4 linked regions of the Daphnia pulex genome follow. The protein of the gene in region 3 purifies or fractionates together with the protein of the main gene of each other region. This does not show direct contact. Links are inferred from orthologs where the notes say so. Each region holds a gene or a part of one and is shown on either strand. Other genes may lie near its edges.

What was found.
Region 1: the proteins of pre-mRNA-processing factor 19-like (region 3) and U1 small nuclear ribonucleoprotein 70 kDa-like fractionate together in Homo sapiens (co-fractionation; 3 studies listed by BioGRID, with this or other methods). This does not show direct contact. The link is inferred for Daphnia pulex from reciprocal best matches to the Homo sapiens genes PRPF19 and SNRNP70.
Region 2: the proteins of pre-mRNA-processing factor 19-like (region 3) and beta-catenin-like protein 1 purify together in Homo sapiens (affinity purification with mass spectrometry; 4 studies listed by BioGRID and IntAct, counting the BioPlex papers as one, with this or other methods). This does not show direct contact. The link is inferred for Daphnia pulex from reciprocal best matches to the Homo sapiens genes PRPF19 and CTNNBL1.
Region 4: the proteins of pre-mRNA-processing factor 19-like (region 3) and pre-mRNA-splicing factor SPF27-like purify together in Homo sapiens (co-immunoprecipitation; 10 studies listed by BioGRID and IntAct, counting the BioPlex papers as one, with this or other methods). This does not show direct contact. The link is inferred for Daphnia pulex from reciprocal best matches to the Homo sapiens genes PRPF19 and BCAS2.

Annotation. Positions count from the first base shown.
Region 1 is NC_060026.1:6,141,064-6,145,103, reverse strand, and holds the start of U1 small nuclear ribonucleoprotein 70 kDa-like, read left to right. Parts: upstream 1-1,240; 5' UTR 1,241-1,532; coding exon 1,533-1,676; intron 1,677-2,146; coding exon 2,147-2,264; intron 2,265-2,333; coding exon 2,334-2,398; intron 2,399-2,536; coding exon 2,537-2,599; intron 2,600-2,660; coding exon 2,661-2,742; intron 2,743-3,675; coding exon 3,676-3,756; intron 3,757-3,959; coding exon 3,960-4,040. UniProt on the Homo sapiens protein: Component of the spliceosomal U1 snRNP, which is essential for recognition of the pre-mRNA 5' splice-site and the subsequent assembly of the spliceosome. SNRNP70 binds to the loop I region of U1-snRNA.
Region 2 is NC_060022.1:2,351,930-2,356,166, reverse strand, and holds beta-catenin-like protein 1, read left to right. Parts: upstream 1-1,437; 5' UTR 1,438-1,575; coding exon 1,576-1,605; intron 1,606-1,777; coding exon 1,778-2,082; intron 2,083-2,148; coding exon 2,149-2,480; intron 2,481-2,554; coding exon 2,555-2,778; intron 2,779-2,854; coding exon 2,855-3,003; intron 3,004-3,093; coding exon 3,094-3,275; intron 3,276-3,353; coding exon 3,354-3,713; intron 3,714-3,790; coding exon 3,791-3,879; 3' UTR 3,880-3,924; downstream 3,925-4,237. UniProt on the Homo sapiens protein: Component of the PRP19-CDC5L complex that forms an integral part of the spliceosome and is required for activating pre-mRNA splicing.
Region 3 is NC_060022.1:3,389,541-3,398,224, forward strand, and holds pre-mRNA-processing factor 19-like, read left to right. Parts: upstream 1-5,909; 5' UTR 5,910-6,022; coding exon 6,023-6,041; intron 6,042-6,136; coding exon 6,137-6,286; intron 6,287-6,348; coding exon 6,349-6,490; intron 6,491-6,550; coding exon 6,551-6,692; intron 6,693-6,756; coding exon 6,757-6,942; intron 6,943-6,998; coding exon 6,999-7,184; intron 7,185-7,263; coding exon 7,264-7,600; intron 7,601-7,667; coding exon 7,668-8,017; 3' UTR 8,018-8,155; downstream 8,156-8,684. Other genes in the region: TRPL translocation defect protein 14-like, read left to right, coding at 1-72, 138-322, 725-798; uncharacterized protein LOC124195731, read right to left, coding at 1,305-1,755, 1,810-1,967; heterogeneous nuclear ribonucleoprotein 27C-like, read right to left, coding at 2,574-2,755, 2,818-2,887, 2,962-3,197, 3,355-3,544, 3,652-3,759, 4,141-4,223, 4,799-5,000, 5,204-5,411 and 1 more. UniProt on the Homo sapiens protein: Ubiquitin-protein ligase which is a core component of several complexes mainly involved pre-mRNA splicing and DNA repair. Required for pre-mRNA splicing as component of the spliceosome.
Region 4 is NC_060018.1:4,114,108-4,117,071, forward strand, and holds pre-mRNA-splicing factor SPF27-like, read right to left. Parts: upstream 1,774-2,964; 5' UTR 1,713-1,773; intron 1,643-1,712; 5' UTR 1,591-1,642; coding exon 1,486-1,590; intron 1,295-1,485; coding exon 1,202-1,294; intron 1,134-1,201; coding exon 961-1,133; intron 896-960; coding exon 785-895; intron 724-784; coding exon 558-723; 3' UTR 501-557; downstream 1-500. Other genes in the region: uncharacterized protein LOC124189006, read left to right, coding at 24-126, 191-269, 1,498-1,529, 2,453-2,630, 2,838-2,964. UniProt on the Homo sapiens protein: Required for pre-mRNA splicing as component of the activated spliceosome. Component of the PRP19-CDC5L complex that forms an integral part of the spliceosome and is required for activating pre-mRNA splicing.

The sequences.
Region 1 (4,040 bases), on a different chromosome or scaffold from region 3:
CATGTATTAGCAACTGGCGTTTTGGTGTAGCGGAATTGTGGATAATATATCCAAATTATTCAGTTTAGGAGGTTTTCCCATCTAGGTATCTCGGGCAATCTGCCTTAGTAGAACTATGGAAACATGTTCACAGATTGTATGGTTCCATTTTTGGGTTTATTTTTGTGGGCGGACCGGCGGAGTGCTTGCGGTCACGTGATGATGGAAACTCGATTCAGAATCATGTCGTGTGTATCAGACTTTGCCGCGTTTTGTTTGTTTATTTTTTTGCATGTGCTAACGATAAAAAGGCCTATCCTTAAGCTGAGTTAAGCATGAAGGACGAAACAGTATGAGTTTTTTGGCGCAAAAAATTTAGCTAACTAAAGTAAAATTTTGTTATGGTCTTAAAGTAGAGAGCTAGAGACACCGTCTCAACTTTCAGACGATAAATACATCAAGATTAAAGACATTCCTAATCCTAAGAAACCATTAATTTCAATTAATTCAATAATTGAATTCTACGCCATCAAGAGGCCAAATAATATCGAACAGTTTTTTTTTACTTTGTTTTGGTTTGTCTGCAAGTAGAAGTTGAAATCCAAGCTGATTTTTGAAAACCACAATAACATTAACCGAACTTAACCGCATCAGCAATGTATTTAAGAAAAGGCCGAAAAGGCTTTGTAAGAAAGAAAGGAACTAATTTATTTATTTACCAATATTTGGGACTTGGATGTAATTGAAAGATGCTGTACAACTTGAATCTTTTGAGATGCAGTAATGAAATAAATCTTACCGTATAAAATATGTTTACCATATATTAAACCTTGTCAAAAATGCACGTAGAAATTCCCCCTTAGTCTCATTTGAAACCTAATTATGTCTATTTTTATGTAGTATTTATAGTTTTTTTTCCTTAAAGAGCATTAATTTAAATGTTATAAGTTACCTACTACCTACTTACTAGACTCCACTTTCAAGAAATTTAATGAAAAATATCAGCGCCAAACCCATTAAAATCCAATAAGCAATAAGCAACAAGCAAACTAAAGGGCCGGGGGTCTAGTATTACGATTATAATATTTAAAACAATATAAAAAGTAAAAACTGATACAAATTGGTTGGGGCCAAAACGCTGTTTTTGACTGTAGTGACTATTTACTTTTATATATGTCTGATTCTGATCTGGTATTGATTCGTCTGCTTTTTTAAATTTAGTTTTATTTCTAGTTGCCAAATATATATTTTGTTGCTAGCCTATTTACGGCTCAAAAAAAATTTATGAAATTGGTCAGATAAATTAGAAATTACAAAATCCCGCTGTTTTTCCTAAAATCTCAATCCCATCTCATCCCACAATACCCGTTTTTTAAAACGGGTATTTTCAATTTTAAAAACTTGAAAATTTCAAAAGTGGGAAAATCCCACCAAAGACCAAAGTGGCAGCCCTGCCGAGCAATAGATAGACAGTAATGGACTAATGGCCGACAGCTAAGACGCTCGACCGAGAAGCTTTTTGAAAGGTCCATGCTCATTGAAATATTTGTGAAATGACGCAGTTTTTGCCTCCAAATCTTTTGGCTCTTTTTGCGCCACGCGATCCCCCTCCATTTTTACCACCACCTGATAAATTGACTCATGAAAAAAAAAGAACGCCATACATTGGTATAGCGCAGTATACAAATCTGTTTGAGGTTAGTATTTGATTCCATTAAAAATTAAAAATTGATATAGTAGTCAAGGTAAGTATTGCAATTTGATCTAATTTGATTGATTTGGGAAGTAATGTATGTCTTAATTTACTAATGCACGGGTCCCAATCCCAATTTATGGAACAGTTTTGGTTCATTTATTCATTCTCCTCTAGATGTGTCGATGAGAATCCCAAGTTTTCATGTGTGACATGTGAGATGCAAAATATTTTGTGAAAATGTTGTGAAAGTGTCTTAATTTTCTGGAAGCACAGTGTTTCCAGCTGAGCCTTTTATCAGGTTGACAATTTAATGTTAGCATATGTCTGAGGGGTGTAAAGTAGTCATTGTTTCACAAAGTTTTAAATGAGAGATGTGGAACGAAACATTGCATACTAGAAGCATTCTGATGAACTAAGTACTGAGCTTTCAAACATAACGAAATTTTTAATATCATTTTATATTCTTAACAGGATCCTAAAGATACACCCCCTCCTACGCGAGCAGAAACACGGGATGAACGGCGCGAAAGAAAACGTCGCGAAAAGGCAGAACAAGTTGCCTATAAACTTGAACAGGAAATTGCAATGTGTAAGTTCTAATTTTTGGTGTGTTTCTACAATTTCTTTTATCAATTTCCCTTTTCTCTGGCATTCATAGGGGATCCACACAGTAATGGTGTTTCTACCATGGACCCCTTCAAAACGCTGTTCGTTGCTCGCATTGTAAGTGTCAATACTCATACTATAATTTTTTTTTCTCATCACTTTTATTTTATTTCGAGCTTAATGAATAATGAGTGCTAAGTTATAACTAGTAATCCGCATGAATGAAACGATAATTCTTGAAACATTTTCTCTCAGAATTTTGATACTTCGGAATCTAAATTGCGCAGGGAGTTTGAAGTGTACGGAGTTGTTCGGAAGGTAACTTACAAGCACCATGTGAAATTTAATCACACGCTTACCACGCTTTTTAATGTTACAGATTGTGTTGGTGCATGACAAGAGGACTAGTAAGCCACGCGGTTATGCATTCATCGAGTATGAACATGAGCGAGACATGCATTGTAAGTATTTCTTTTCTATTATACCTAAGTCGTGTGGTAACTGAGGGTAGTGGGCTAATTAGTAAGGCCTGCGATAGCTTTCACTGTTCAATTAATCGTCGCACCACCAATTTGTATGATGATGAAAGGGGTGGGGGTGAGGTGGGGAAAATCTGTGATTGATTTGTACCTTAAAGTTTTCCTATATTTCATTTTGTCGTTTCCGGTCACAGTCGCGGCCTCCGACTATTTGGACGGTCATGTGGCCTTTGTCGCTTTTTGTCTCTTGATGCTAGGTTTGTATGGTCAATTGGTAAGGTTTCGTTTGGTTAAAGTTAAACCAAAATCCCTTTGAAATCGACTGCAGGTTCAAATTAGCTTCAAAGAAAGTATCTTTTCGTTTTCACCCTCCCTTCCCCTTGATGGTAGTAAGTATCCTGGTAAGTCGGTTACTAGGCTTTCTAGCGCCACTAAAAATTAGGGCCATTTCAATTCGATCAGATTCTTCGAGTGCTGCTGCGCGTTAAGAGGATTCACAGGTAAAGATGGGGACAGCTTGAAGAGGGAATGGATCTGCTTCTGTGATTGGCAACATTTGATCGCTTATTAATAGATCTGGATGTTACGTGAACATAGCCGTAATCTGGTAAACGGCCGTGGCGTTGGTTTTTTATGCATTTTCCAAGTGTTATGATTGGTCATACTTGAAATCATTGCATTTTTCGTTATTTGTTAATTCACGGTAAATATTTTTCGAAATTGCTGGGAGGGGTAGGTAATGGAGATCCTTCGGTAGGTGATATTAGGTTTGTGATACTAATTGTTGGAACTCTCCTTCTCCATGTTATACACGCTGAATTTTTCGTCTTCTCTGCCTGCTGTACTACCCGTATTTACGATTTGTTCGTTTTGCCGACGGCGCCGAAATACTGGTTTGTTGTTTTAAAATACCAGCTGCGTACAAACACGCCGACGGAAAGAAAATAGACGGCCGCAGAGTTCTTGTAGACGTAGAAAGGGCAAGGACTGTCAAAGGTAATTATTTTAATTAAATAAGTTTTATGTTTATAGTTTGCTGCCCTTTTTTTCGAAGGCAAATTTTAAAATTTGTTTTGAAAATCCATAGGTTTTTTATTTTGATTAATCAGTGTAAATAAGTGCACAAAATTTTTTTCTTCTTGTTAGATATTATAATCATGCCGCCATGGTTTCTAAGTACCTAAACTATTGCATTCCAGGTTGGCTTCCTCGCCGTTTGGGTGGAGGCTTGGGTGGGACTCGTCGTGGAGGACCAGATGTAAACGTAAAACATTCAGGAC
Region 2 (4,237 bases), about 1.0 Mb from region 3:
ATTACTCTCCACAGCTGGAAAGTGCGTCGTAAAAATGAACCCTTTTAATTGCTCATGTGATGATTTGTCGTCGGTTTCTCGAGAAATATCATTCGTAGCTTAGAATCATTACTTTTTCAAGTTTCAATTCCTTCAGGCATTTTTAATACGGTGTGATATTAAATAGCCTCCTATTATTATTCCATTTAAATATGAATTTTACCCTAAAACCACAAACGACACCGGAAAACTTATTCCTCTTGGTATAACACCATTTATAAAAACTTTCTTAAAAATTTCTCTAATTGAAAACGAGGGTTAACCGAGGGAATATTTTAAGAACGAGTGCCAGTGTGGCGACCAAGGACCCTCTTTCGTCATAAAATTTTTCTAGTTGCACTTTGCTTTAAGTGTTTGAAGTTGAAATATTTTTGAATTGGACTTTTTACCTATAGACAAAGTTGTGAGGTACAAAACAGGGCCTGAACTGCAGCCGTTCTACAAATGAGCAACCACTTTTTCAAACCCTGACCGAGTAAACAAAAACGGCAAGAGAAAACCGTTCCGGTCAACCGCATAGCTCAGGAATAATCGTACTCAAAAATTTATAATCAACGCCAAGTAACAGTCAAAAAGGAAGAATTTAGATAAATGTTTTTCTACCTTAAAGCCTTTAAGTCCACGTTCACATGGGTGTAAAGAGGACATTCCAAGAAAGGGGAAGAAATTCGGTCGACATCGGTGATAGTCTCTCCAATCAAACGGGATGCTATAAATCCTATCTAAATAAAAATCAAATATGAAATATGAGTTACGAAAAATATTTACAGAAACAATTAGTGATAAATAGAAAACAAGACAGCAGATGAATCCTATTTATTAATGGACAAGAGAATGTAAGAATTCCCTGTAACACTCTGCAAGTGATGGCTATTTAAAACATCTAACAGGTTAATAAAAGTAACGAAAATCATTACCTGAGTGATGATACTAAGATTGTTGCTGATGACACTGTGAATACTGGCACAAGCAAAACTTGCATATGTTGTGGTTTGATGGTTGGCTCTGGCCTCAAATCTGCACAAAGATGAGAATGTTACATAGTGCTCACAAACACACATGCAATAGCAACACTTATCATGTAAGCCCCTTATTACATGATACATGCTAGTCAGTCATTCTATTTGAATTTATGGGGTTTTTTTACCTGCTAAAGCAGCATGTGTATGTGCATTAAGCGATTCTATAAAGACACGCGACCGGCGACCAGAGTTGACACGGCAATCACATTTTTGTTTTTAATTTTTAGTGCTATTTTTCGTGCAGCAACGTAACGTTTCCCCCCAAAAATCTTTGTCTCTTTTTCTTTTTCGAAACTTTCAAACAAAACGAAAGCAGACAACACTAATCATAAAATCGACCCATCGAGTTTCATTACTTATGGCCAGATGGCGTTTTTATTCTGATATTCCTAACGGTAGATGACTCTATTTTCATGTTTGACACATCGTGTTTTTTAAAAAGTTGAAAGTTCCAAAAGATCTCTTCAAATTTTGTTTATGCTGGTTCATTATTTAATTTAATCGAATATCTGCAATGGATGTCGGTGAACTTTTATCTTTTAAGGTGTGTAAATCAGTTTGTATTAACACTTCTTTAGCTATAAGTCCATTAAGGGGAAACAGAAGCATTGGATGTTATGGGATTGCATGGAGCATATATTGCAATGGCATTTGTTGGATTATTTTGAAAGCTTTCATTTGTTTTATTATGATTAATCACTACTTTCTTGTTACAGCCAAAACAAAACCCCAAACGAGATGTTGCAGATGATGATAAAGAGCCAGAGTTTGAACGTCCCGGAAAGAAACTTAAACAGTTTCCAACCAGTAATGTAAAGCCAAACCCAAGATCAACAGCCACATATATTGCTCCCCCAGTTGTTGAAACTCCAGAAAAAGAAGAATTGCTCAAATTGGTAGAGCAAGATGAAGGTTCTGAAAGCCTTGATGAAGCCTCCCTAAAGAGAATGATTCTAAATTTTGAAAAGCGGGTTCTGAAAAATCAAGAACTACGTGTTAAATTTCCAGATGCGCCAGAGAAGTATGATTCCTATCCTCTGCTTGTTTTGTCATCATTCTTCATAATAGTTTTTATTTTATCTTTTAGGTTTATGGAATCAGAATTGGAATTGCATGAAGCAATTCAACTGATGCATGCACTTGCAACAGCTCCTGAACTATACACAGTAGGTGTTGAACAAAAGCTTATACCAACATTGCTAGGTCTATTGTCACATGACAATGCAGACATTTCTGTCGCTGTGGTCAATTTGCTTCAAGAATTGACTGACATTGATACTCTGAATGAAAGTCAAGATGAAGCTGCAATTCTAATTGATGCACTCCTGGACCAGCAAATCTGTGCCCTCCTAGTCCACAACCTGGAAAGACTAAACGAAGCTCAAACAGAAGAATCTGACGGAGTTCACAATACACTAGGTATAGACGATCATTTATGTTTCTATAATTCATAAGTACCCAGTTTTTGTTCACAAAATAATTTGTTCTTTCAGCCATTGTGGAAAACTTAACGGAAATTAGGCCTGAAGTGTGTCAACAAGCAGCCCAACAGGGGTTGCTGAGTTGGATAATGAAGCGGCTAAGAGCTAAATTACCATTCGACGCCAACAAACTATATTGCAGTGAAATATTGTCCATTTTGCTTCAAGGCACACCAGAAAATCGGCAACTTCTGGGTGAAATTGACGGAATTGATATTTTGCTTCAACAGTTAGCCGTAAGAAAACGTTTTTCTTCATTCATTTTTCATTTGTGTAAAAGTGCAAGTCATTTTTTTAATTATTTTCTCGCAGATTTTCAAGCGGCAAGATCCCAAAACAGGAGAAGAACAAGAAATGATGGAGAATTTGTTCGATTGTGTTTGTTCCAGTCTGATTCACGTTCCCAACCGCGACAGATTTCTGAAGGGAGAGGGCTTGCAACTTATGAACCTCATGTTGCGGTATTGTTGAAATTCCCACGATCCGGCTTGCTACCATTCATATTGTTGATCTTGAAGCCTGACCCGTTTTTTTCCCCACTTTCTTTACAGAGAGAAAAAAATGTCCAGAAATGGCGCGTTAAAGGTTTTGAATCACGCACTTAGTGGTGAGGCCGGTAAAGATAATTGCACCAAATTTGTGGACATCCTCGGCTTAAGGACTATTTTTCCGCTATTCATGAAAACGCCGCATAAACTGAAGAGAAAGGGGATGTCAGCAGAAGAGTATGAAGGTAAATATAAAATATAGTGCAAATACTGATGTGCATCACAAATTTATAAAACGTGACCCGTGTAAATCGTTTTTTTAGAACATATAGTCTCGGTGATTGCAAGTATGCTAAAGTCGTGCCGAGGATCACAGCGCACCAGACTTCTGACGAAGTTTACAGAAAACGACCACGAAAAAACCGATCGACTGATGGAGTTGCACTTCAAATACTTCGACAAATTACGCGTGATTGACGCTCAACTCCAGCGGAACGACGACGAAGAGGACGAGGACGAAATGTACCTTAAACGTCTGGAAGGTGGATTGTTCACGCTTCAGCTGGTGGACTACATTATGATGGAAGTTTGCGCCTCAGGAGCCGCAACCATCAAGCAGCGCGTTTTGCATACGCTCAATTTGAGAGGAGGCACAGTCAAGACAATTCGTGAAATAATGAGAGGTAAATATTTTCGCTTTTCGTCCAATCGTAAAGCCCTTGTCCAAGTTAAACTAATATTTATTTGGTCCTTCGCGCAGAGTACGCAGGAAATCTTGGCGATGGCAGTGAAAGCGAAGCGAAAGAAGAAGAGAAACAACACATCCTTCAGCTCTTGGACAAGTTTTAAGATCACTCAGCAGTCGTAACTACAATACAAATTTTCCAATCGAGACTTTTTGTATCGAGCAAGTTGCAACATTCTTTCGAAGCAGACACGCATACCTCCGTTTGATCTTCTATTTCGAGAAATGAGGGGTCGTGGTTATACGTACGTTTTATAGACGCACTTTCCAGGATTTGCCATAAAGAGACTGAGACTAAACGCAGACTAATAGCCCTTTTTCCTTGATGGGGGTCGTTCCAGTTAATATGACTTTCGACAGTTATTCCTCCGAAAACTGAGCTTCTCAATTACTGTGCAACCAGCATACATTTTTTTATGTTTTACAATGTTCTCTAAAACTTCGGCCAGGTGCATGGGCCGA
Region 3 (8,684 bases):
GAAGAGACGTTGCTTTCTCTATCACAACCAGTATTTCCAACTGGATATTTACAAAGAGCCTTGCCATCCGAGGTATACTTAGCAATTGGATTTTTTCCAACAGAAACACTTCACTATACCAAAAACGCTTTTCATAGATGCCACGGCCTAGTGTTGTTGGAAACGTATACGACGCAATCGTTGGAGGAATTCCAAGCTAATAAATTGCCCGATTTCCTTGACATTGTCGATAACGTGACGGGCGATCCGACCCACTCTATGTACAACCTTTCTCTTAAAGAGGAATGGTTAAATAATAAAAAATTCTGCTTCAAACTTGCAGGTAACGCAATATCCGATAACAAATATTTGGTATTTTTCTTGTGTGTGTTGTGGAAATCCTGGGAGGGTTTGTACCGTTCACAGGGGAGTTCACATACATTGTGGGGAAATATTGTGTAAGTTATAGTTACATATTAAAGGATCCATATTTTAAATTATTGACTCAGCTGAATTGCACGAGGAATTGGGCTGAGGTAAGGAACACCGAGCTTGATGGCTAATGATCGAGTCGGATGCATGCGTGTGTATCATAGGAGAATTTTCACCACAGAATTTATTTAGCAAATCACAATTTTTTCGTATCCTAGTATTTGTTCCTTATTTTCTACTTTTATTTTAAGTTTAAGTCTCGTAGAATTTGACTAATAATTTTTTTTTGTATCTGAATATCAAAAATCTGCAGCCGACGACGAAGATGACCTGACTGGAAGCCCTCGAACCAATGGCTGGATAGGACCACACGTTAATGGAGTTTAGTAGCGATTCTCAGCACATATGGTCAAGGGCACGTTAAGTAACCGACTATTAAATCTGATTCCTGTGAGTCTCAGTTCTTATTCAAGTTATTCTACTCTCACTATATCAACTCCCCCCCCCCCCCACATACAAAGGTAAAAGAAGAAATAAAGAAAGCAAGAATAGAAAAATTTTCTGGGAACACCTGACTCATGATAACTACGATTTTCTTACTGCTGCTTTGTAATAACTACAAAAGTTGCAATACGCTCGTGTTAAAGTTATTAGCTAGTCTACTAAATGATGATCGCCGATAAACTGTAGCATTTGGCCGTCAATACTTAAGCGACCGTGTTACAATTTCTTCATTTACCCTTTACAAGTGCATTATATCCCATGTAGTATTAAAATAACCTTCATTTTCTTAGACAAATACAATATTGTATTCTTGCAGTAATACAAATTCTGGAAATTTCAAGTGTATCATTTTAACATTTACAAGTTGAATTTAAGTTCAATGGTGCAGATTATGCCCCTTTACCTTTTTTTGCAGTGTAACAACTTTGACTGGTAGCAGAAATTGGTCTTTTTGTTGCATGAGAAGTGGTTTGAGATGTAATGACAGAGTCCTGATCATAATCAGAACTGCTTACACTTTGCTGATTTATTTCTTGATTTTGTTTCTTCTGCAAGAGCTCAGAGTCATGAGCAAAGACACAGTTTGACCCAAATCTGCACCTCCCTTTCCTATAGTTCCAGCAAATTTTTCTCCCATTGATTTCTTTGATGTCTTCAAGTTTGGGGGTGAATTTTACATGCTTTTCAAGTGTGCCCTTTTCTGCTTCCTCTGCTTCTTTGTATGGATTTGCAAACACAGATTTTCCTGACACTGAAGTCTCTGAACTGCGAAAAGGGTTTTTCAAGTTCTTTAAATGTTCATCTTGCAACGAAAAGTTATCTGCTTGATCGTTTTCTTCACTAAAAAATGAAATATTTAGAAATTTAAAAAATTCATAGAGAAATTTGTCATACCCACTACTACTATCATCAAAAACCTGAAAAAAATTATTTTTGATTTTTGATTTCACAGGATCTTCAGCAAGTTCTGTTTGTGTTGATTCTTTTGTTTCCGTTCCAGAACTTTCCGAGCTATCCGATCCATAACCCACCAACAAATTTAACGAAGTCATCTAATTTTTTATCGTAGAAGCTTAACGAGTGCTTAATTTAAACTAAAGAAATGGTGAATTATTTAAAATTTTAGTAGATCTCTTAACTGACTTGCAGAACAATGTGTAGTTGTGTTGTGTACTGTACATTGTTGCAGACGACATTACCCAAAACACAAGAGAAGTCATAGGGTTACCCAGCCCTCTGTTGAAAAAGTTTAGAGACAGGTTTTTTTTTTCAAAGATAAGTGATCAGTAGTTTATTAAATATCAAAGTGTAAATCGTGATTGTTATTAGTATAGATCAGTACCAGCAAAATTGCAATTCAATCAACGTGTAATCGGAAGTTTGAAAGTGCATACTATCTCGGATTTTTTTAAAGAAACTTGCACACAAGGATTTAAGAACTAATTAACTACAGTTTTATTCGAACGCATCGAAAAGTCATGAATAGCTCAGGTTCAGAACGTAATGTTAGGGCGGGATTCAAAGAGAAACGTCGAAACGATACAGACAAGAACACACCGAATGCACGACAGATTGGCCATCATTTAAATGTTTGTCCAGCCATAGGGCTAAGCAATGTGCAACTTAAAACACACAAAAAAAAAACACTGATGATTTTCTCAAACGCCTCCTCGGCGATATGGGTGGTATTGAGATTGCGACGGCTGGTGGTGGTGACCACCTCCTCGTTGAGGACCCGGTCCTCCAGGGCCAGCAGCTCCGGCTCCTGCTCCAGGAACACCAAGACCATTACCGGCAGGTGCAACGCCAGGTGGTGGGACTCTTTCTGGATTTCCATAGCCTAAAAAAATAACCATAATTATCATAAAGATCCTTTTTTGTAAAAACTAAATTAACAATCACCTTGTCCACCTCCATATCCTTGAGCGTTAGCTTCTTGGGCGTATCCTCCTCTGTATCCTTGGTTAACGTCCTTGGATAATAATAAAAAAAAAAACGATTGAATTCCTAAAAAAATGTAACATTTGACTCGCACAATTAACTTACTGTTCCATAGCCATTAGTTCCGTATCCAGCACCGTACTGAGCAGGTTCAGCTTTTACTCCAGGAACTCCAGGTCCAGTAGGGGCAGCTGCGCCCGGAGGACCACCATTAGTTGGGTTAGGACCTCTACCATACATATCGCCGTTGGGACCTGGGCCACCAGGTCCACCTCCTTGTGGGCCCGGTCCTCCCCAATTCCAGTTGTTGTATCCACCTTGTTGAGGTCCACCTTGAGGGCCTATATAGTTTAACACGTTCTTATTTTCATTCATCTACGCGGTATCAAAGACAATGTGATTCATGGAAAAACTTCTATTTAGAAAATCTCAGCCAATTTATCTTCGAAATATATCCTGGAGAAGAAACAATCACTTTATCAGCATACACTTTATTACCATAGCCATAATTAGCTCCTGGTCCTCCTCCATATCCTCCCCACTGCCCTTGTGGGCCCCATCCTTGATATCCACCTTGGGGTCCATATCCATATCCACCTTGATTGGCAGGTCCACCCCATCCTTGATAACCACCACCCATGGGAGGGCCCATCGGTCCACCCATTGGGCCACCCATAGGACCCATACCCTAAATGGCAAAAACGCAAAAAAAAAAAAAGAAAAAAGAAAAACACAAATCGATTATTTAAAATCTGTTTGTAACTTAAGTTTGAGCAAGAAAGCTTAGTGACTTACCCCATGCATTCCCATTCCCGGACCTTCCCATCCACCATTGTGTCCTCCACGTCTCATTCCACCAGATGATCCTCGAGTATCACGGGGCTCTGCTTTCTTGATTTCAACCTATGGTCCAAAAGAAATCTTTATTCCTTGTTTGATGACTAATGTTAATTCTAACATTAGAACGAATTATTATGCATTCATATTTTTTTAAAACAATAAAGAGAGCTCACCACCGACCTTAACTTGTTACATTATTGATAAGATTATCTATTGTTTTCTATGAGTTAATTACAATTACTATTTAGAAGACCAATAGATTGGTACAAAGACCAGCTTAACTCGACGGTTAGATACATTTTCTAAATAAACTTTAAAAATATATAAGATCAAGTGTCGGCGAGGTTTAAACAATGGTGAGCCCTGATTATTCATACTTCCGATTGCGTTTTTCACAAAGAGTAAGGGAGAGGGACATTGGTTGTTGTTTTGATGATAGAATACCTGCTTTCCATTGATTGAAACATAGTGTTCACCAGTGCAGCGATCCACCGACTCCTCCGATTCAAAGGTCAAAAAGCCAAAGCCTGTCCCAAGGTTTTCCAAATTGCTTATTACACTTTTTTTATACCACTTTTCTTTACATCTTTCTTTGATCTCATTAATAATCATTAGAAGAAATCTTGGGACAGGCCTGACTAAATTATTTTTCAACCATAACTTTTGACTGTAGATCTGATGAGATTGATACCGGATTCTAATACTTGAAGAGAAATAAATCTAATACATCGTTAAAAACTAGAGTTGTGATTATGAAAGAAATATTGACTCAACCCAATGGGTATGCCAATATTTAGTCAGATGTAAAACTTGTAAATCCACCCTCCCAAGTTCCTTAATGGCATATTATCTACTGTAATTCGCGGAAACTCTTTCACATGAGCAGTAGAAGTAAACGTGGATAGGAACTTAGCCATTTGCTTACCTATAGGAATAAAATAACCACACTATTAAAGTTAGCAAAGTTATCAAAAAAGGAATCCATCGAATCTTCGGAATATAACCACTTACACTTGCGTCATACGTTATGTAAGGACGTTCATAGTTTATTTACGCTGTTTTAATTAACTTTAATACCCACTAATTGAGGAAAGTGACTCACCTCGAGATTTTTTCTTTTCTTGGTCGTACATGATAACGACTTCAGAGACCTTTCCGTACTGCGAGAAGAAGTTACGAAGATCTGTTTCTGTCAAGTTTGATGGAAGCCCACCTAAAAATACTTTGTAACCATTTCCTGTACCCATACTCCGGCGAGGAGCGCGTACCATTTCGGCACGTGGATTACAAGGTTTGGGGTCAATCTGCATAAACATAAAAATATGAGATCATAAAAAACAACCAAAAATGTAGAAAGAAATCAAATATATATCTCAAGTTGAGATATAAACTTCAATTCCTTCCACTTCTATGTAGCAATACCGCGAAAGGAGATAAAATTATGTTAAACATTCTATCACCGCTCAGGTAGTGCAAATAAGAGTATGAAGAAAATATAAAAACTTACTGTGCGATTATCGAGTATATGGGGTGTGTTTTGTAGTACTAAACCAACATTGTTAGGATCAGCAAATGTAATGAACCCAAACCCTCTCGATCTACCAGTTTCTGGGTTCTTCATTACCACACAGTCAACAACTTCACCATACTGACTGAAATATCGAAGCAAATTATCGCGCGTCGTTTCCCAGCTTAAACCTCCGATGAACATTTTACTAAAAAAACAAGATTCGTACCAAAAAATAGTAAATGGACGCAAATCATGAAAAGCTTAGTGTACGGCGTCATGGATTTACATTCTCCCATGAACTTCACATGTCATATTATAAATGGAAAAAATTTCTTACCCTTGTTCATTCGAATTATCACCACCTTCTTTTCCAGGGAATTTTTGTTGAGAGGCCATTGTTCAGTTTAAATTGAATATAACAGTAAACGAATCTTTCAAATTTTCGAGGAGTGTTCGCACTGCGCTTGGGTTGGCTTCTTCAGTTGAGAAATGGGGGAAATGGCTGGCCCGGCATTTCAGTCAGTTTGCACCGTTGCCTGGACACTTTTTCTAGTTGAAAACTTGAAACTTAAATTATGAAATTATTACTTATAAAAAACTATGCTGTTTCTTTTACACATTCCAATAAAAAAATTTCTGAGTCTTAAAAAAATGATTGGATTTTGAAAAGAAAAGAAAACTCGCACTGAGGAATGAAGCGCTTTATTGAATAGTGTAGTCTAGCAACTGTTTAGCCCTAAGCGAAGCGAACATATGCATCTTGGCTTGTCGCACATTTTTGTGAAAAGTATATAAAAAAAGGTTACACGCTTCATCATGGCCCTCTGTTGTTCTCGTAATATTACATTTTCATTATAAATATCAATTTAAAACCAATCCATTCTTCTGAGAAATTTGATATTTAATGTCTTATATCTCTTGCTTATATAGTGTCGAACGAAGTTCCCGAACATCCTGTGGTCTCACCGGTGTCAGGATCTGTGTTTGAACGTCGGCTGATTGAAAAGTACATTGCTGATAACGGGGTAGATCCCATCAATGGGAAAGAAATAACTGTAGATCAACTTATTGAAATCAAAAGTAAGAAATTTTTTATCAAAGTTCCACAATGAATTTACATGTAATTGAAATTTTGTTTCTAGCCCCCCCAATTGTTAAGCCTAAAGTGCCATCTGCAACAAGCATTCCCGCCGTGCTTAAGTCTTTACAAGATGAATGGGATGCTGTCATGTTAAATTCCTTTACTTTGAGGCAACAATTACAAACTGCTCGACAAGAATTGAGGTATTGACCAACTTAATTACACATGGAATTATTGTGCAAACATTCTCTTTCTATTTGTAGTCATGCTCTCTACCAACATGATGCTGCTTGTCGTGTTATTGCACGCCTCCACAAGGAAGTGTCTACAGCACGGGAAGCACTTGCAACTCTTAAGCCCCAGACTGGCTATGCTGCTGTATCTACACCATCTGTTGCTGCCTCAGTAAGAAAGCATTATGATATTTATTTGTATGTTATTTATGATAAATTTACTGATTTGATGTAAGGCTGAAGCGGGTGGTGTGGCAGCACAACCGATCGAGGCAGCTGGATTAACTCCGGAAATCATATCACAATTACAAGATAAAGCCACTGTTCTTACTCAAGAACGAAAACGTAGAGGCAAAACCATGCCCGAAGGCTTAGCTACAGCAGAAGCTTTGAAGGGATATAAAACTTTGGCATCTCATCCGGTAATGACATATAATTTTGAAATGTTATCCCATCTTCATGGATTGATTACATATAGGCTTTGCACAGTGCAAGTATGCCCGGAATTTTGACCATGGACGTTCACGCCGCCGATACTTCTCATATTTTGACTGGAGGTAACGATCGATGCGCTACAGTTTTTAACAAGGACACTGAGCAGGTTGTTGCTGTTCTCAAGGGACATACAAAAAAAGTTACCAAGGTGCTTTATCATCCAGAAGAGGTAATTTCATGTTTTCTTTTAATTTTCTCTTGATTTACTTTGTTATATGATACTAATATACCCCTTGAATCTGTTATAGGAAGTCGCGATAACAGCATCTCCTGATGCGACGATTCGTGTTTGGAATATAACCGGCTCCTCACAATCTGCCATCATCCGTGCTCATGATGGCCCTGTCACAGGCTTGTCGCTCCACGCAACCGGAGAATATGTTTTGTCGACGTCACTGGATCAACACTGGGCATTTTCAGACATTCGCGTTGGGCGGTTGTTGACAAAGGTTGCCGACACAGACGGAAATCCGCTTACGACAGCCCAGTTCCATCCAGATGGTCTCATTTTCGGCACTGGAACACAAGATTCACAGATCAAAATTTGGGATTTAAAAGAACAATCTAACGTGGCCAACTTTCCAGGTTTGGCTCTTTTAAAATAATCTTGTGATAAACATTAGCTTTACTATTACCATTTTTACAATTACAGGTCATTCCGGTCCTATTGCGGCTTTGTCATTTTCAGAAAATGGTTACTATTTGGCTACAGCGGCAGAAGACTCTTGCGTCAAATTGTGGGATTTACGGAAATTGAAGAATTTTAAAACAATTCAGCTCGACGAAGGATACGAAGTTAAGGACTTGTGCTTCGATCAAAGCGGCACCTACCTTGCTGTGGCTGGTACCGACGTGCGTGTTTATCTCTGCAAGCAATGGGAAACTCTTAAGACTTTTAACGACCATACAGCATTGGCTATGGGAGTCCGTTTCGGCAACCATGCGCAGTCGATAGCGTCTGTGAGTATGGATCGTACGCTGAAAATTTATGGCATCGAGTGATTCACTGTATTCAATGTTGAGAGGGGATTTTTAAATGAACATTTTTCGTCTTATCCTTTTTTTTGCTGTAAGGTGTGCAAACCGCATCGAACTCTCGCCCTCACAAAAATACACGCGTTTCATTTTTCCCATCAAAAACAATTCTACGAGTGTATATCGATAGTTAAGTTTCCCGCGTTACTATCGATACATTAAATAAAACAAAAAGCTTCGAAATTTTGTCACTAGTGGCGTGGCAGTTCGCTTGGCATTTTCGCTTTCTTGAAGCATATCCCAATGGCGGCTTAGGCAATCGATGCATCGGCCGCTCCTTCGTACAGGGGTTTATGTATTTGGCCTAAAATGCCGGTCGACTCTTGTAAACAAGGAATAGTGAGATCATACTACGTTAATTTCAAATTTCATAGTTCAAATTCTTCATATTGGATTGCTATCCTGAATCAAGATTTTTCCAGATAAAGTACGAGGTAAGTCGCCCAAAAACAGTTCCTTCAACCGTCGCTTCTATCAAGTTGCATTGTTGCATCTTTTGTAATTGGAAGCGTGGTTTTGTTGAATGAATAAAATTTTCTGCCCTTCAAAAAATTTGTCTTCTTTAATTTGACGCATTTTTTTTTCTCCCTAAAGAGTTGACACAACTACTTTAATTAGCTTACACATTAATCAG
Region 4 (2,964 bases), on a different chromosome or scaffold from region 3:
AATATCCGTAAACTAATTTTCAGGACGTTGGTCCAACTTCTTGAGAGGACTAAGAAAAAGTACCAATCTCGATTAAAAAGACTAGAGCAGCAAATGGTCAACATGTCGGAAAGACATGCAATGCAGGTATATAGAGAAAAATTACGAGTTATCAAGTGTGACCGACATAAAAATGTCATGTGATTATCAGGTTCGCGTCCTAAAGCAACGAGTTATGGTGCTGGAAGATGAGTCTTCCGTCCGCCCTTTACCTTTAAGTTCAGCCCCAAGTGAGACTTCCCTATGATCTTACCCTTTTTTTTACCCTTCTCTGAATTACGCTTTGCTGTACTCATACGCTTCTTCTCGTTTTCAATTGTGTGATATATAAAATCAGAACGTGCTACTTACCATTTATAAGACAAGCTAATCTGAAAGTGCATGACTTTATACTATTTTTTTGTTTTGTTCCCTTACAACCAAATCTTTTTGGTTGTCACTTACTGAAAATCTCGGATGAATCAATTTCCTGTTGCAGTGTATTATCCGAATTCGATAAAGTAGGTTTACATTGAATTTCATTCATTAAGTGAAGCTAACTGTCTCTCAATTTCAGCACACGCGAGTTCGATTTCGTAGTTTTTAGTGATCAAACCAAACCAAGTGGCTTCCAAATGTTTCATTTTGTCTCCAACCTCTGTCTGATCTTTTTTTCTAGCCCAATTGACATCTTGGATTTGTTTCCTGTAAAGAAAAATATAATAGTGTATTTTGCAATATGGTGTCTACTTTACTGAAATCATACTTAAATTCCTGAAGATGCTTCTGAGATTGTTGGATCATCTGGGACAATACAGTGTTATAAATTCTCCATGATTCACAACCATACTCTGACATTAATTCCAAGTTCAAAATCCTGTTTTTTAATTGAAATTTTTTTAAATTTATGGTTGCTGTAAAATTTTTTTTTAGAAAACAAACCTTGTTGTTTGATGTTCTAATTGAGCCATTGAATTATCAACACACTCTATCCATGCTTGAAGATCATTTAGACGACCAGCAGATGGGGGTGGGAGTTCATATCGTTTCATGCTCAAAACATCCATTGGTTTCTTTTGAGACAGTCGCTCAAATTCAGTCTTCATCAAAGGAGTCTATGAACATGATAATTTCCATAATTATTACACACTCCTATCATTACTTCCATGCAGACAGTTCTTACTTCAAATGCTGACAGCTCAAGTGGAGGAAGATGTTCTAGGTAGTTTTTGGTTGGTCTATATCTTCGTGTCTCTTCATCAACCAATGCAAGTGCCTGATAGAAAGAAATTACTCTCATTAAACAACTATTGGACAAGAGCGAGAGTTCTCAGCAACATACAGTACTATGGTCTAGTACAATAATGTATTGATGTTAGAGATGACTAGGCTAACACAAGAATCTCCAAGCCTCAATTCGAAGCGATTCAAATATTTCAAAGTTTGCAATGTATAAGTTTTGCTTACCGCTTCTCGTAGAGTTGGATCTCCATATTCTTGGTCAACGTATGGTAAATCGTCAACCAAAATCCTTTCGTTCGGCGTGGAAATGTTTGTTGACGGAATCGGCATTTTGTGATTTGTGTCAAACTGTCTGTTGTCAGCAAGATTGTCAGATTTTCTGCTGGATTAATAAATATGAGCCACAGTTTTAGTAATTGATTTTCATTATGTCTAATTATTCATAAACTTACTTTTTGATAATGAATAAAGATCATTAACTTCCTTTAAATGAATAAAATATGAAAATAAATTGGTATATTAAATTTTATTCAATAATATTTTGGACACCGTTGCATTGTGAAACAAATAAAACAATATTAAAAATTTTATAACTAATCACTCCATTAAAATGTTTGAAATCATCAATTGAAACTCCATAATTTTTGTTATTAAACAGTGGATCAGTTCAGTGAATAATCTGTAATTTTTCAAGTAAATAATCAAGTAAAAAACGGAACGTAGAGGGCGGCAATTCTCAAAGTATGCCGGCAACATTGTAGACTTCCTCTTTGTCGCCATTACTGTGGGTCTCTTTCATTCGCCTTTTTACCCGGTCAGGACTATCTACCAAGATGGTAAGCATGAGGTTCTCCAAACATTTTACTAGTTTTTACATACATTAATTTACGAATAGTAAGTAAAAAGGTTAACGGGAGAAACGTGTTTTAAGAAAATTCTTGCGTGCGTATATTTTTCTAAGCCATTTTCTTGTTAATCTATGGCGAAAGTTTGGGAGTAAAATGTTACCCACAGCGTGGTTTCGTCCTCGTGTCAAATGGGCTCTTGCTGTTTTTCTATGTTAATTCAACGTCGTTCTTGGTTTATTGTTATGTTTTGGTTAATTGGTACATCTAGTTCAAAGTTTGTGTAAATTCAAGTGTTGTCTCTTGAAAATCTTAAATCTAATTTGTTTATCCATTTTGTTTTACAGAGTAAGGTGGTCGCGAGGCCGTTGATTACCGTTTACAATGAGAAGGCTGAGGCCTCTGGAACCAGCATCCAGCTCCCTGCAATCTTCAGGGCTCCCATTAGGCCAGACATTGTCAGCTTTGTTCAACAACAAATGTCAATGAATCGTCGTCACCCTTATTGTGTCAGCGAGAAAGCAGGTAACTTGTATGCCAATTATATGGCACACAGCATTGAAATGTAGGAGTAATTGTACGTCAGACTCTTCTTGTGCAGTGTGCAACACTAAAGCGAGTCCCTGAGGCCTTTCTCGCTTTGTTTTCTTAAAGTGAGGGGTTGGGCAACCGGACAAACTTCATACACACATGTAATGGTGTGATTGTTAATCTTCTTCTTTCCTATTACAGGTCATCAGACAAGTGCTGAATCATGGGGTACTGGTCGTGCTGTGGCTCGTATTCCCCGTGTCCGAGGAGGTGGTACCCATCGCTCCGGTCAGGGTGCCTATGGTAACATGTGTCGTGGTGGACGTAT